3 linked regions of the Mus musculus genome follow. Each later gene encodes a partner of the first gene's protein in a complex. Links are inferred from orthologs where the notes say so. Each region holds a gene or a part of one and is shown on either strand. Other genes may lie near its edges. The genes, in order: Ripk3, Zbp1 and Aim2.

Evidence for each region.
Region 2: Ripk3 (region 1) and Zbp1 share a complex: the UniProt entries of both Homo sapiens proteins name them as parts of the AIM2 PANoptosome complex. The link is inferred for Mus musculus from reciprocal best matches to the Homo sapiens genes RIPK3 and ZBP1.
Region 3: Ripk3 (region 1) and Aim2 share a complex: the UniProt entries of both Homo sapiens proteins name them as parts of the AIM2 PANoptosome complex. The link is inferred for Mus musculus from reciprocal best matches to the Homo sapiens genes RIPK3 and AIM2.

Annotation. Positions count from the first base shown.
Region 1 is NC_000080.6:55,786,001-55,790,288, forward strand, and holds the start of Ripk3 (receptor-interacting serine/threonine-protein kinase 3), read right to left. Parts: upstream 2,858-4,288; 5' UTR 2,637-2,857; coding exon 2,617-2,636; intron 2,463-2,616; exon of another isoform or gene 2,382-2,462; coding exon 2,238-2,381; intron 2,134-2,237; coding exon 1,824-2,133; intron 1,440-1,823; coding exon 1,282-1,439; intron 1,161-1,281; coding exon 1,114-1,160; intron 1,017-1,113; exon of another isoform or gene 925-1,016; coding exon 757-924; exon of another isoform or gene 651-756; coding exon 583-650; intron 359-582; coding exon 26-358; intron 1-25. UniProt on the Homo sapiens protein: Serine/threonine-protein kinase that activates necroptosis and apoptosis, two parallel forms of cell death. Necroptosis, a programmed cell death process in response to death-inducing TNF-alpha family members, is triggered by RIPK3 following activation by ZBP1.
Region 2 is NC_000068.7:173,216,079-173,220,239, forward strand, and holds the start of Zbp1 (Z-DNA-binding protein 1), read right to left. Parts: upstream 2,845-4,161; 5' UTR 2,698-2,844; coding exon 2,664-2,697; intron 931-2,663; coding exon 694-930; intron 1-693.
Region 3 is NC_000067.6:173,462,052-173,465,620, reverse strand, and holds part of Aim2 (interferon-inducible protein AIM2), read right to left. Parts: coding exon 3,301-3,569; intron 2,866-3,300; coding exon of another isoform or gene 2,758-2,865; exon of another isoform or gene 1,769-2,757; intron 1,763-1,768; coding exon 1,574-1,762; intron 651-1,573; coding exon 603-650; 3' UTR 1-602. UniProt on the Homo sapiens protein: Sensor component of the AIM2 inflammasome, which mediates inflammasome activation in response to the presence of double-stranded DNA (dsDNA) in the cytosol, leading to subsequent pyroptosis.

The sequences.
Region 1 (4,288 bases):
TGCTCTAGTCTTGCCAGTGTCTCACCTGATTCCTTTGGGGGTGAGGACCGGGAGTCTCAGTAAAGACTGGCCCAGGTGTTGTGCCTCTGAAGGGTAAAGTATGTGGAATCTGAGGAGTGCCAGCCACGGGGTCAGAAGATGTCCTTGCTGGTGTGGCAGGCCCAACTGATGTGTCCTGTGCTTGCCTCTCAGGACATTTTCCAGGAACTGGTCCGGAGGGTTCCTCCAAATGCAGGCGGTCCAGCATTTTAGAAACCATGGTTTCCCTCGGGCAATCCATTTCTGTGCCTCTTTGGCTTGGCTCTCTGGCAGACAAGTTTCTGCCGCTGCTTCTGTGCTGAGACAGATAATGCTTTACCTGTGCAGACAGGGGGACCTTGTTGTCAGGAGCTGGGGCAGCCAAAGTAAACCCCAGTGAAAATTTTCTTGGTCTCTGGAGACTAAGGAGTAGGTTCTGGTGAATGGGAATGACAACCAAGGATTAAATAATGGTGGCCAGTGAAGATAAACTGAATGGTTAAGGGAGCCACTTGTGCCATCTCCCAACAGTTCCTGGATGGGAAGGCAGTGCTAGAAACTCACCTCGGAGACAGCAGCATCTACCTTGTCCTTTACCAGATTGTAAACTTCATTGGTTTTTGGTTCGCAGTCTGAAAGACAACAGCGAGTTGTATATGAGTCGGATTTCTTTCCTTGGAGGAGCTCCCTGCTGAAGACCCAAGCCTACCCTAGTTGCCAGAGATACGGCCAACTCACCCTGGAAGGATGGCCTGTTTTCGGACTGGGAACCCCAGCAATGAATCATTAACTCCTTCAGTTTTTCCAAGCCGGGAGTCTCAGGGCTACCTGGAGGCAGCTCTGTCAGTGGAGGACGACTCTGCCTGTCACACACTGTTTCCCGGATTAGTGAAGTCTTGTCTACCACTGGAGTTGGGGGATAACATAAGGAATTCATGAAATGAGGGGACAGCCCATTCTATCGCGGACAGGAGCAGGGAGAGTCATCCAAGTGAGAGGTGAGGTGGGAAGAGGGCAGTGTGTTAGTGGGTCAGGGTAAAAGGGAGGGCTCCAGGGGGGTTTAGGTGCTTTCGGGTACTCCATTTGGAGTCTTACACTCAGCTTCTCTGCCAGCCAGCACTGCCCACACGAGGATCCCAAAGCTGTACAGACACAAATGGAGGCTTAGATGGCCTCTGGCGAGACTTCTTTCCTGTATCATTCCCTTTAGAAGGGCCCAAATTGGTATAGAGATTTGGAGTGTGTTTGGGGTGGATGGTTTACCTGTAGACATCACTCGCTTTAGAAGCCTTCAGGTTGACATCAAATAACAGCTCTGGGTCCAAGTACGCTAGGGTGCCCCCAGAGTCCCTGGATCCTGATCCTGATCCTGACCCTGACTGGGACCCTCCCTGAAACGTGGACAGGCCAAAATCTGCTAGCTGTAAAGGAAAGGAAAGGGAAGGTATTAGATGAAGGGGGGGGTCAGAGATTTTTCCCTCTCTTGCTCCCCAGAAGATGCAGCAGCCTCAGCTTTTTGGAAGGTGTTATGGAGGACCAGAGGGAAGGTAAAGTCATTGAGAACTTAGCAGGAGATCTGAGTTGCTGATGGGCAGGCCTGAGATAAGTCAGCCTGGGTCCGTGAGGGTGCATTAGGCCTGTGGAACTGAGCCAGGGGGTTAAGAAGGGCGTCTGGTAAGGAGGGTCACCTGGTATGACTAGAAATAAAACTCCTAGTTGGGTCTTGTCATGTGTGTAGTCTTGTATTCAGAGGGACAGGTACTCAACATGGTCCCAAGTCTACACTAGGTTGTAGATGGACTAACCTTGGCGTGGAGCTCTGGATCCAGCAGAATGTTAGAGGGCTTGAGGTCCCGGTGCAGGAGCGGAGGGTTCAAGCTGTGTAGGTAGCACATCCCCAGCACCACTTCCTGCAGCAGGCGACAGAGGAGTGGCCAGGGCCGAGGGCACTCGGGTTGCAGCAGCCCTGCGAGGGAGCCATTCTCCATGAATCTTGTCACCAGAGCCTGCCCGGACACGAAGTCCCACTGGAGGTCCTCAGTGACCCCCAGCAGGAGCAGAACGTTCTCATTACGAAGATTAACCATAGCCTTCACCTCCCAGGATATCTTCTTCCTACACGCCGAAAGGGGGCCAAAATTGGATTGCGCTCTGGAAGACCCCACCCTTGCCCCACTCAGGCTCGTGACCACACTCTGACTACAGCTGGGGTCACTCACGAGTTCACGATCTTGACTGCTACATCATGGTTCCATGTTCTGTGGTGTGCCCGGAACACGACTCCGAACCCTCCTTTACCCACAAACTCCAGCTTCTTCAGTTCTTCACGGCTCACCAGAGGAACCGCTGACGCACCAGTAGGCCTGAGAAAGGTTCTTGTCCGGTAGGGGGCCCATCCCCCAGCCTAGCGCATCCTCTGTCTCCCAAGCTCCGGGATTCCGTGACTGCGCGTGGGCAGCGTAGGCAGCGAGTCTAGCCTCCCCACTGCTGCCCGCCTCACCCCCAGCTTTGTCCCCTGCCTCAGAAAAGGCGTCCTTTGAGTGTGTCCCCGGGCCACCTGTGTGGGTGTGCCGGAGACACAGCTCACTCCCCACTCACCATAACTTGACAGAAGACATCGTCGGGAGCTAGCGGCTTCCTGGAGTTATGTGTGCACAGACGGAGCTGGAAACCCGACGTCTACGGCTCGGAGTGTGGACTGAGAGGAAGGCAGGGTCTGCAAAGGGAACAATCAGTAGGTCAAGGCACGGAGGTTCAGGCCCCGAATTCCGCTTCCCAGGTCGCTCCCCCGGACTTTGAATGAGCGACTTCACAACTTCCCTTTCAAATAAGAGGCTCCTTCTATCTCCGCCCCCTGGGGTGGAGCATTGAAAACTTTGGGGCTATTTCCTGTGCACGTGCCTTGAAACTGCTTCCACCCGAGAAGCGCCCAGGCACTGGGCGTGCCACAAAAGGTGTCCTCACCATCCAGGAACGATTGACTCCCCACGATAGCCAGTCTCTCTTGGACCCCTTAGCTCCACCGCTTGCCAACCACATTTTGATGAAGGGAGGATGGAGATCAGGAGGATTTTATGGTCCTAAGATCACGGAGTAACGCTTCTAGTAAGGGTTGTCTTGGGCCAGGTACACATACTGGCTTCTTAGATCAACCGTGTTTTCTTTTCTATAGAGGAGGAAACCCAAGTACTTAAAGTTTAAATCGCTTGGCCAAGTAAGTATGGGACTAGTTTAGAACCGAGTTCTGCTCCACCAAGGTAGCCCTTATTTTATTTATTTATTTATTTATTTATTTACTTACTTACTTACTTACTTACTTACTTACTTACTTTTGAGACAGGGTCTCTTTTTGGAGCCCTGGTTGATCTGGGACTCGAGTATACAGACCAGGTTGACTCAAACTCACAGAGAGCCATCTGCATCTGCCTCCTGACTAAATGCTGGGATTAAAGGTGTACGCCACCATGCTTGGCTTTCTTATTTATCTTAAAATTTATTTATGTGTGTGCATGACCATGCATGTGGTGAAGGGGTGCATGTCATGGTGTGTGTGTGTGTGTGTGTGTGTGTGTGTGTGTGTAGGTGTTCGACCTTGTTTGAGATAGGGTCAGTTTGTTCTCTGCTGTGTGCATAATGCTATGTGTTAGCCTGTTAATGTCCCAGTATTCTCCTGTCTCTCATCTTGCTGTAGGAACACTGGCATGGTATACATGGGCTACTGTCCCCAATGTCACTTTAGTTGTGGGAATATGAGTTCAGGTCCTCATGCTTGCATGACAAGAATTTTGCCTACTAAGCGGCACACACACACACACACACACACACACACACACACTCCAGCTCAAGTTAGCTTATTCTTCTTGACAATGCCTCTGGGCTATATAAATCTACCTGTGGTGCAGGTAAGGTATGAGGCACGCAGTATGCACTAAAGGACCTCTTGGAATCCCTGCTCAGCAAGAGCAGCTACTAAGTAGGGGTTGTGGAGCTGGAAGGCCCAGGGTCTATGCCAGGGTGTTGTAATGAGGATAGGTGTGCTGGCCCTGCAATCGAGCCACTGCTGCTGTGATGGCCTCTGTAGCAGCTCTAAGGGCTTCCCACCCTTCCCCTTGTGTGATACCTTTGGCAAGTAAATACTCTGATTCATGCTTCAGGCAAGCATGGCATATATTCTCCATGAAAGCTTTTCAAGATCCTAGAGTGTCAGACTGTTGGGTAACAGGACTGGTGGTGCACACCTTTAATCCCAGCCCTCAGGAAGCAGAGGCAG
Region 2 (4,161 bases), on another chromosome or scaffold:
CATTTAGAGCCTCTCTTCTAACAGTGAGTCTGGCCTCTGATACTCCTGTGGAGCTTCAGCGGTCTGGAGAGGCCCATGGGGGTGCACTGAGCTGCAGACCAGGGCCCCCTGAAGTTGCACCTACATCTCTTTAGGGTCTTGAGTCTGGAAGAAGGATGTGTCCGTTGGAGATGGGAGACACCCTGCTCCACTAAACATGGGGAATGATTTCTCAGGGGAGCTGGGGGCAGCACATTAGGCTGGGACCCAGGACCTCCTGTCTGTTTGGGTCACAGATACTGTCTGCTGAAGGTTGAGGTCCCAAGGCTGCTTCCTTTCCTGTCTCTATCTGGAGCTGAATGAAGGCAAGGTGGCCCTGGGGACCGCATCAGCTCTTGGAACTCTGGGTCCTTTCTTCTTGATGGCTCTCAAAGTCACCTGAAGGCTCTGAGTGAATCCTTACCCATCAGCCCTCACTATCCGTGTAACTATTGCCTGCAGTGTGTCTTCACTACTGCTAATGTCTATTGCACACCTACTATGTATAAGCCCTAAGCTTCACATTTGGCTCCATTGGCCAGAAGAAATCAAGAGACAGAGAGGGAATGGCCAAGCTCAGATTTGAAGCCAAGCCTCGTGGCTCTTAATGTGCGTGTAGGGGGGAGGAGAGCTTAGTGTGTGTGGGGGGTCTGCTCTGCCTACATGACAGATTACCAAGGCTAGGCTGGGCACTGGAGTTCTCAGGGATTGCAGGAGCCCCATCTCCAGAAGCAGCCCCGCCTATGCTCCATGTTGCAGGCTCTGGGGAGGACACTCTGTCCTCCTTCTTCAGGCGGTAAAGGACTTGATTGAGGGTTTTCTTGGGCACTTGGCATTTCTTCACCAGCTGGCCAATCTTCACAGGGCCGCCGTCATCGCTCAACACCTGCAGGATCTTTTGCTCCAGATTGTCTGGGGAGGAACCCAGAGAAGAGCTGAGTTAAGCCTAGTCCCCAGAGCAGAGAAGGCACCTGTGACCTGGGCCAAGCAGACAGGAACGACGACACCACCCAGAGGCAAGGGTGTCAGTCAGGTGGCCCCTCACCCCACAACTAGATGTCTGGGTGGCCAAATGGTAAAATAGTATACAGCCTGCCCTGTGTACTATGTGGAACCCAAACAGGTAGGAACCCCCAACTCTCGGACGATGGAACAAAAGGGAGAGGCAGGAAACCAAGTCTAGCCCTGAAGTCCCTATTTGGTGTCTTGATGGCCTCTCAGCCTGGCCAGGAGTCCCTTTCTCTCCTGCTCAGCACCCACATCGAAGGCATGGGTGTTCCCAGCCCAGGAGCCCAGCAGATAAGAAAAATGGGTCTCTCCTCCCTTGCCTGATACAGCAGGAGTCCTGAAAACCCAGCTCAGCTCTTTAACCCAGCCTCAATGTCATCTTCCAGATGCCTGCCTGCCAACTCCAGAAGGCTTCCTCCCAGAGCCCTCCACCCCTGCTAGCTACCCAGCCTCCTCCTCCGTGTCTAACCCTGAGGATCCCCAAGTTCCACCTCATGTCCCTTCCAGCACGTCTGTCTGCTTATCCATGAGTCTGCCTCTACCTTTCTTTCTTTCCTCTTGTGACAAAGTCTAGCTCAGGCTAGCCTGGAACTCATAGCAATCCTCCTGCTTCAGCCACAGCCCCACCCCAGGGTGGGGCTGGGGGTGGGGGTGGAGGAGGAGGAGGGTGTTGGGGGAAGGATTATAGCACTGAGCATCTATTCCTGACTTGGCTTTGCCTTGCCTTGTAAAACCTTTGCTGGGGAGTGTGCCCTGTAGTGGCCTCTCCTTCATTCCTTTCTCCCACTGGCCCCTAGGGACACACAAGGCAGGCCAAGCCTTCTCCAAAGGGTGAACTTGAAGGACTGGTTGCAGGGTCTGAAAGTGGGACTTTGGAAAGCAGAAGGCTGCAGGTGACAGGCTGGAAAGGTTAGCAGTGAAAGGAAACCATGGGAACCAGGTGACCTTAGTTCTGGTCTTTGCTTGGCTCCTCCCTGATAGCTTTTGAGCAACCACTTCTAGTATGTTGAAATAAGAAATGATTTTCAGCTGGGCGTGGTGGCGCACGCCTTTAATCCCAGCTCTTGGAAGGCAGAGGCAGGCGGATTTCTGAGTTCGAGGCCAGTCTAGTCTACAGAGTGAGTTCCAAGACAGCCAGGGCTACACAGAAAAACCCTGTCTCGAAAAAACCAAACCAAACAAAAGCAAACAAACAAAAAACAAAAATGAAGTGCTTTTCAAAAGATGAAGAAGAAAAGCAGTGAACTAAATCCTGCCCACAGCATGGCAGCCTCACACAGCCCTGCACCCCGCAGCCTCCCATAGCCCAGAAGCCCCTAGACAGGGTATGTAGTCTCAGCAAGGGTTCAAATAGGGCAGGAGAAGAGCTTGAATGTAAAATCAAAGTCACATCTCCTTATCAAAGCAAAGTCCTCTCTTGAAATGACAGTTCGGAGCCCGAGGGCTGTCACAGGCCTTGGTGACCTCATCAATGAGGTAAGGTGACATGAAGGATCTGGGGCACAGGATCCTTGAAGCAAGCTGACTTCCCTGTGGTGACCTCAGAATCCTGTTGCTGTCTGGGCCAAGGAAAGAGCTAGGAGCCTTAGAAACATCAGCTGGGACCCACGCGAGGTGAAGGAAGAGGTTTAGCTTACCTCCTGTGCTCAAGTCAACAGGAGCTTCTGCCATGCTCACAGCAGCCTTGGGGCTCCTTTAGGGCAGGGGGTGGCAGTTTCTGGCACTGTGGTCAGGCCTGGGGCTCTGAATCCACAGGCAAGAATGGCTGCTTGGACCTGCAGGCACCAGCTGTTACCATCCCGGAAACAAATACCCATCTGGCTCCATCCCCTCCCCGCCCTCCAGCTTTTCAAAGAAAGAGAAAATGAAACTTTGGTGTGGTTCTCGGAAAGAAAGGGTGTCGAAATCGAAATTGAAATCGGGGTGGGTGAGCAAGCTGGAGTTGGATGACTGTGTGACAGAGAAGAGAGGAGTCTTGGCCTCTGGGGTGGAGACTGGTCTCCCACCGGGAGAGCTCTATCTGAAGAGAACTCTGTGAAAGCCCTGTGAGGAGGAAGATAGATCTAGGAAAAGGCACCTACTGTGCCTCCCCCACATGCCCACAGGCAGGTGTAGTACCATCTACTCACATACCTTCTAGAAAAAGAGCCCCTTTTCTCACTTTCATAAATTCTCAGTGACCCGTGAACAGCTCAGACACTTCTCTGTTCCATATTACGTAAGAGGGGATCGGGGCTCACAGAGATGGCCTTGTGTCCACCACTCAGCTCACAATAATCCCAGAATCTGGGTCCCGGCTACAGGGTGGAGGTGGGGTGAGTGCAGAGGCCATGATCTTGGGACCTCTGTACCTGTCTGGTGTGCAGGTCACTGGTGCACAGGGCAAGACAGCAGCAGTCGTTGGAGACTAGAAGGAGGTGATGTGCCTGGAGGATGTCTGCCAAGCAAGCAGGAGGTGGCAGGTCCCCAGTCAGCTTCACCTTACAGAACCTGAAAGGGTCACCAAGGGACCAAGACCAGGCCAGGTCTACACAGCTTAGGATGGGCCTGTGCATGGGAAAATATTAACATTTCCAAGTGATTTTTTTATGACTTCCAGGGAGGAAAAACAGTGCCTGCAGAGCCAGCCAAGGAAAACAGAAACCGCACTGCCTGTTGCCACCCAAAATAAATAAAGTCGCTTTTAAATGAACTCTCAGCTGGCCCCATTGAGGGACACTGCCCAGGTTCCCTAGAGGCGCCATTTGAAAACTGACCACTAGGTGGCGCATGCTCACCAACCGCCTCTTGCCCAGGGGGTCTTGCTTGGTCCCTAACCAAGGTGGCTCCAGACTTAGCAGGGCTTCAGGACATGCCCTCCTCACTCCTTTCTTCAGCATTTTCCTCTTCCCTTCCCTTCCCTTCCCTTCCCTTCCCTTCCCTTCCCTTCCCTTCCCTTCCCTTCCCTTCCCTTCCTTACATTAGCTGACCTGCCTGGAAGGAGTCAGAGCCTCCTAGGTCAGTGACTCTCAACCATCCTAACTCTGCACGTCGTTGTGATCCCCACCATAGAAATGATTTTCATCAACACTTTGTAACCATAATTTTGCTATTGTTATGAAACATAATGTAAAGATCTGTGCTTTCTAATGGTCT
Region 3 (3,569 bases), on another chromosome or scaffold:
ACACTCCCCAACCCACCCACATCCACTCCTGCTGCCTGGCCCTGGCATTCCCCTGTACTGGGGCATATGATCTTTGCAAGACCAAGGGCCTCTCCTCCCATTGATGACCGGCCAGGCCATCTTCTGCTACATATGCAACTGGAGACACAGTTCTGGGGGGTACTGGTTAGTTCATGTTGTTGTTCCTCCTATAGCGTTGCAGACCACTTGCTGCTTGGGTACTTTCTCTAGCTCCTTTATTAGGGGCCCTGTGTTCCATCCAATAGATGACTGTGAGCATCTGCTTCTGTACTTGTCAGTCACTGGCAGAGCCTCACAAGAGAGAGCTATATCAGGATCCTGTCAGCAAAATCTTGCTGGCATATGCAATAGTGTCTGGGTTTGGTGGTTGTATATAGGATGGATCCCCAGGTTGGGCAGTCTTAATAACTTAATTAATAATAAGTTTACATATATTTTTCAGATGTTTTTTGAGTATTTGTCCTTTTCTAAGTAATACAATATGATGATGAGGTTGTAAAATGCTATCCTCAGGTAGTTCAGTCTAGTTCAAGGAGCAGCATCAGGATTCTTCAGGAAAAGGTTTTTCAAATGAGGTGACTTCACTCCACACTTTTCATGTCAGTTTTTGGCTTTGCAGCCTTAATAACCTGGGTAGGAAAGGAAGATGAAGACTGAAATATTGTTGATTAATTAATTCTCCTCTACTTTCACTTACTGTGTTCTCCTGAAAATTCCTTTCTTCTCATCAAATCTCCTCACCTAACACATATTTCCTCTTAATTCTGTCACTCTTGGACAACTCTCCTGAACTATATCTGCCCTGAACACACACACACTCCTACACAAGAAGGACAAATATGAAGACTTCTCAGGTCCCCATCTAATAACTCTATATATACAGTTGAGTGGTGAGGAAGAGAGGAAAGCAGAATCAGTGGGATCATCAGCACGGGGATGTGATAGCTGACTTAACTGCTTTGGACTATGACAGATGTGAAGATGATTGCCCTGGCTCAGATGTTTGTTGTCAGGGTGTTATAGTCTGACTTGACTTTTAACTGCATTTGCCAGAATGATGTGTGCAACTTTGAGAAAGCTGCCTTCATTAGATTTAGACTGTATTCAATAAATTCATTGTGGAAAGTTCTTTGAGAGGAGGAGGAGGAGGAGAAGGAAGAAGAAGAAGAAGAAGAAGAAGAAGAAGAAGAAGAAGAAGAAGAAGAAGAAGAAGAAGAAGAAGAAGAAGAAGAAGAAGAAGAAGAAGAAGAAGAAGAAGAAGAAAAGAAGGAGAGTGAGATTTTGTGTGTGCATGTGTGTATGTGTTTGTGTGTGTGTGTGTGTATGTGTGTGTGTGTATGTGTATGTGTGTGTACATGCACACGCATATGTGTGTTTTCCTTGGGAAATCCACAGCTTTGAATTGTGTATCTGGGTTATGTATTTTTGAATGACAGGCTTCTCAGGTCTGTGAGATGCAAAGGCATACATATTAAGCTCTTCTCTGCCATCCTGTTCATTGGATTTCCAATAGAAAACACAAAACAACATCCTCTTCTGAGAATTTCCATACCTTAAAAAAGCTACAAGGTCCAGATTTCAACTGAATTTTCACTCCATTTTTTGACACCTCAAAGAACGTGAGTCTAATCTTGTCTCCTTCCTCGCACTTTGTTTTGCTTGGGTTTCCCAGCACCAACACCTCCATTGTCCCTGTTTTATCATGTATACCATACAGTACTCTATCTTTTTCCTCTGTTATCTGTGAAAGGAAAATATGAGTCAAGTCCTGCTAGATGACTAAGAAAGAGCAGCATATCAATCAGTTATCAGACAAGCTAGGAGCAGCTTTCCAAAATAATATAATAAATAATTCCAAACTTCTACCCAACAGATTCTAGCAAATCTCAGTGGAAGGGGTAGGAGGATTATATTAAAAGCATGTTGCCTCTTGTGTCCATCTTCCTAGTCCCAAGGTTTTTTTCTTTTGGGAGGCCAGAATAACTCACAGAAACAACGGGTAGACAGGGAAGGTGGGGCTTCTCCAGGGCCAGCATGCAGGGGGCAGTCATGGGAAAGGAGCACCTCCTGGTTAGGAGGAGAGTCACTTAAGGAAACAAGTAACAGAAACCCATGAACCAAAAATAAAAGACCTAGTGAAGAAATTTAAAAGTAAAAAGTCAACCATGAATGAAATATCATTCACAGTCAAGTCCAGATTAGAAGGAGACCAGATTCTAGTCAGGGATGTAAAATATCAATATTTCAATGTTAGTTTTATTCACTAAATGAGAAAACATTAGTGGGTAATTGATCAAACGGAAGGCTCAGAACTGAGAGGGGATGAGTGTTTTTTATGCTTTAATTTTCCAAGGAAGACATTTCCCTCCTGCCTCCTTTCTGAAAAGACGAGAGAGGCCATCCTGGCTACAAGTTCAGAAATCAACACGTTTCCTGTGGTTCTTCAGGGTCGCTCTTAGGCCAGAAAACTGTTCGTACAAGACTAATATATATTTTTTTTTAACCTGATTTCTGGTTTGAATGAAAATGGTCCCCACAGGATCACAGGGAGTGGCAGTATGCAAAAGGATTAAGATATGTGGCCTCTTGTTGAAGTAGGAGTGGCTTTGTTGGAGGAAATGTCATTGGGGGTGGGCCTTGATGTTTTAGAAGCTCAAGTCAGGCTCTCTCTCTCTCTCTCTCTCCCTCTCCTCTGTCTCTCTCTCTCTCTCTCTGTCTTCAAACCATACCTGTACATCAGTCCTCTGCAGAGTGCTCAACCCAACAGTGACTTTGAATATGGCTAGTATCTAAGTGCATAAAAGCAACACAGAGGTGAAGATGCCTGTGTCTATGCTTCAGAAGCTACAAGGCGGAAAAAAAAAAAGAAATTTCAAAATCAGAGTTTCAAAATCAAACCTTCCTTCGCTGTGTGTGGTGACATGCACTTGGATCCCAGCACTCAAGAGGTAGGGGCAGCGAATATCAGTGCATGCCACATAAGACAAAGCCACACAGTAAGACCCTGTCTCAAACAGCAAAACAATCAAAAATACAAAATAAAACTTGGTGAGCTTTGTCTTGGTAAATTATCATCCTACAAATCCTGAACTCTGTAAAATTCTTTTTTAATTGTTAAAATGATTTAAAATCAATTTTTAAATTTATTTTAATTGTTTCAGATTTAATAGAGTAAAAAACATTGAAATGTATTTTCTAAAGTCCCATTAAGGCTTAGAATAGGTGTTATATTTTATATTATTCTTACTGATCAATATAAAATTGCGTATAGGAACTTACCTTCTGGACTTTAAACAGCCCATTCACAATTGTTCCACATGGCTGAATCTTCAGTTTACTAATCCTGGGAGTTTCCCTGGCTCTCTTAACAACGTTATTTGGGACTTCGTGGTTAGATTCAACATCAACCACAACTGAGGAACTGGTGACCTCCATGAAGTTACTGTGCCAAAGGTAGTTTGATATTTTAATTGTCCTCTTTGGGATAAATTTATCTTTAAACTGTGCGTTTAAAACTTTTACAAAGAAAAAATCTGTCTCCGTGGCCA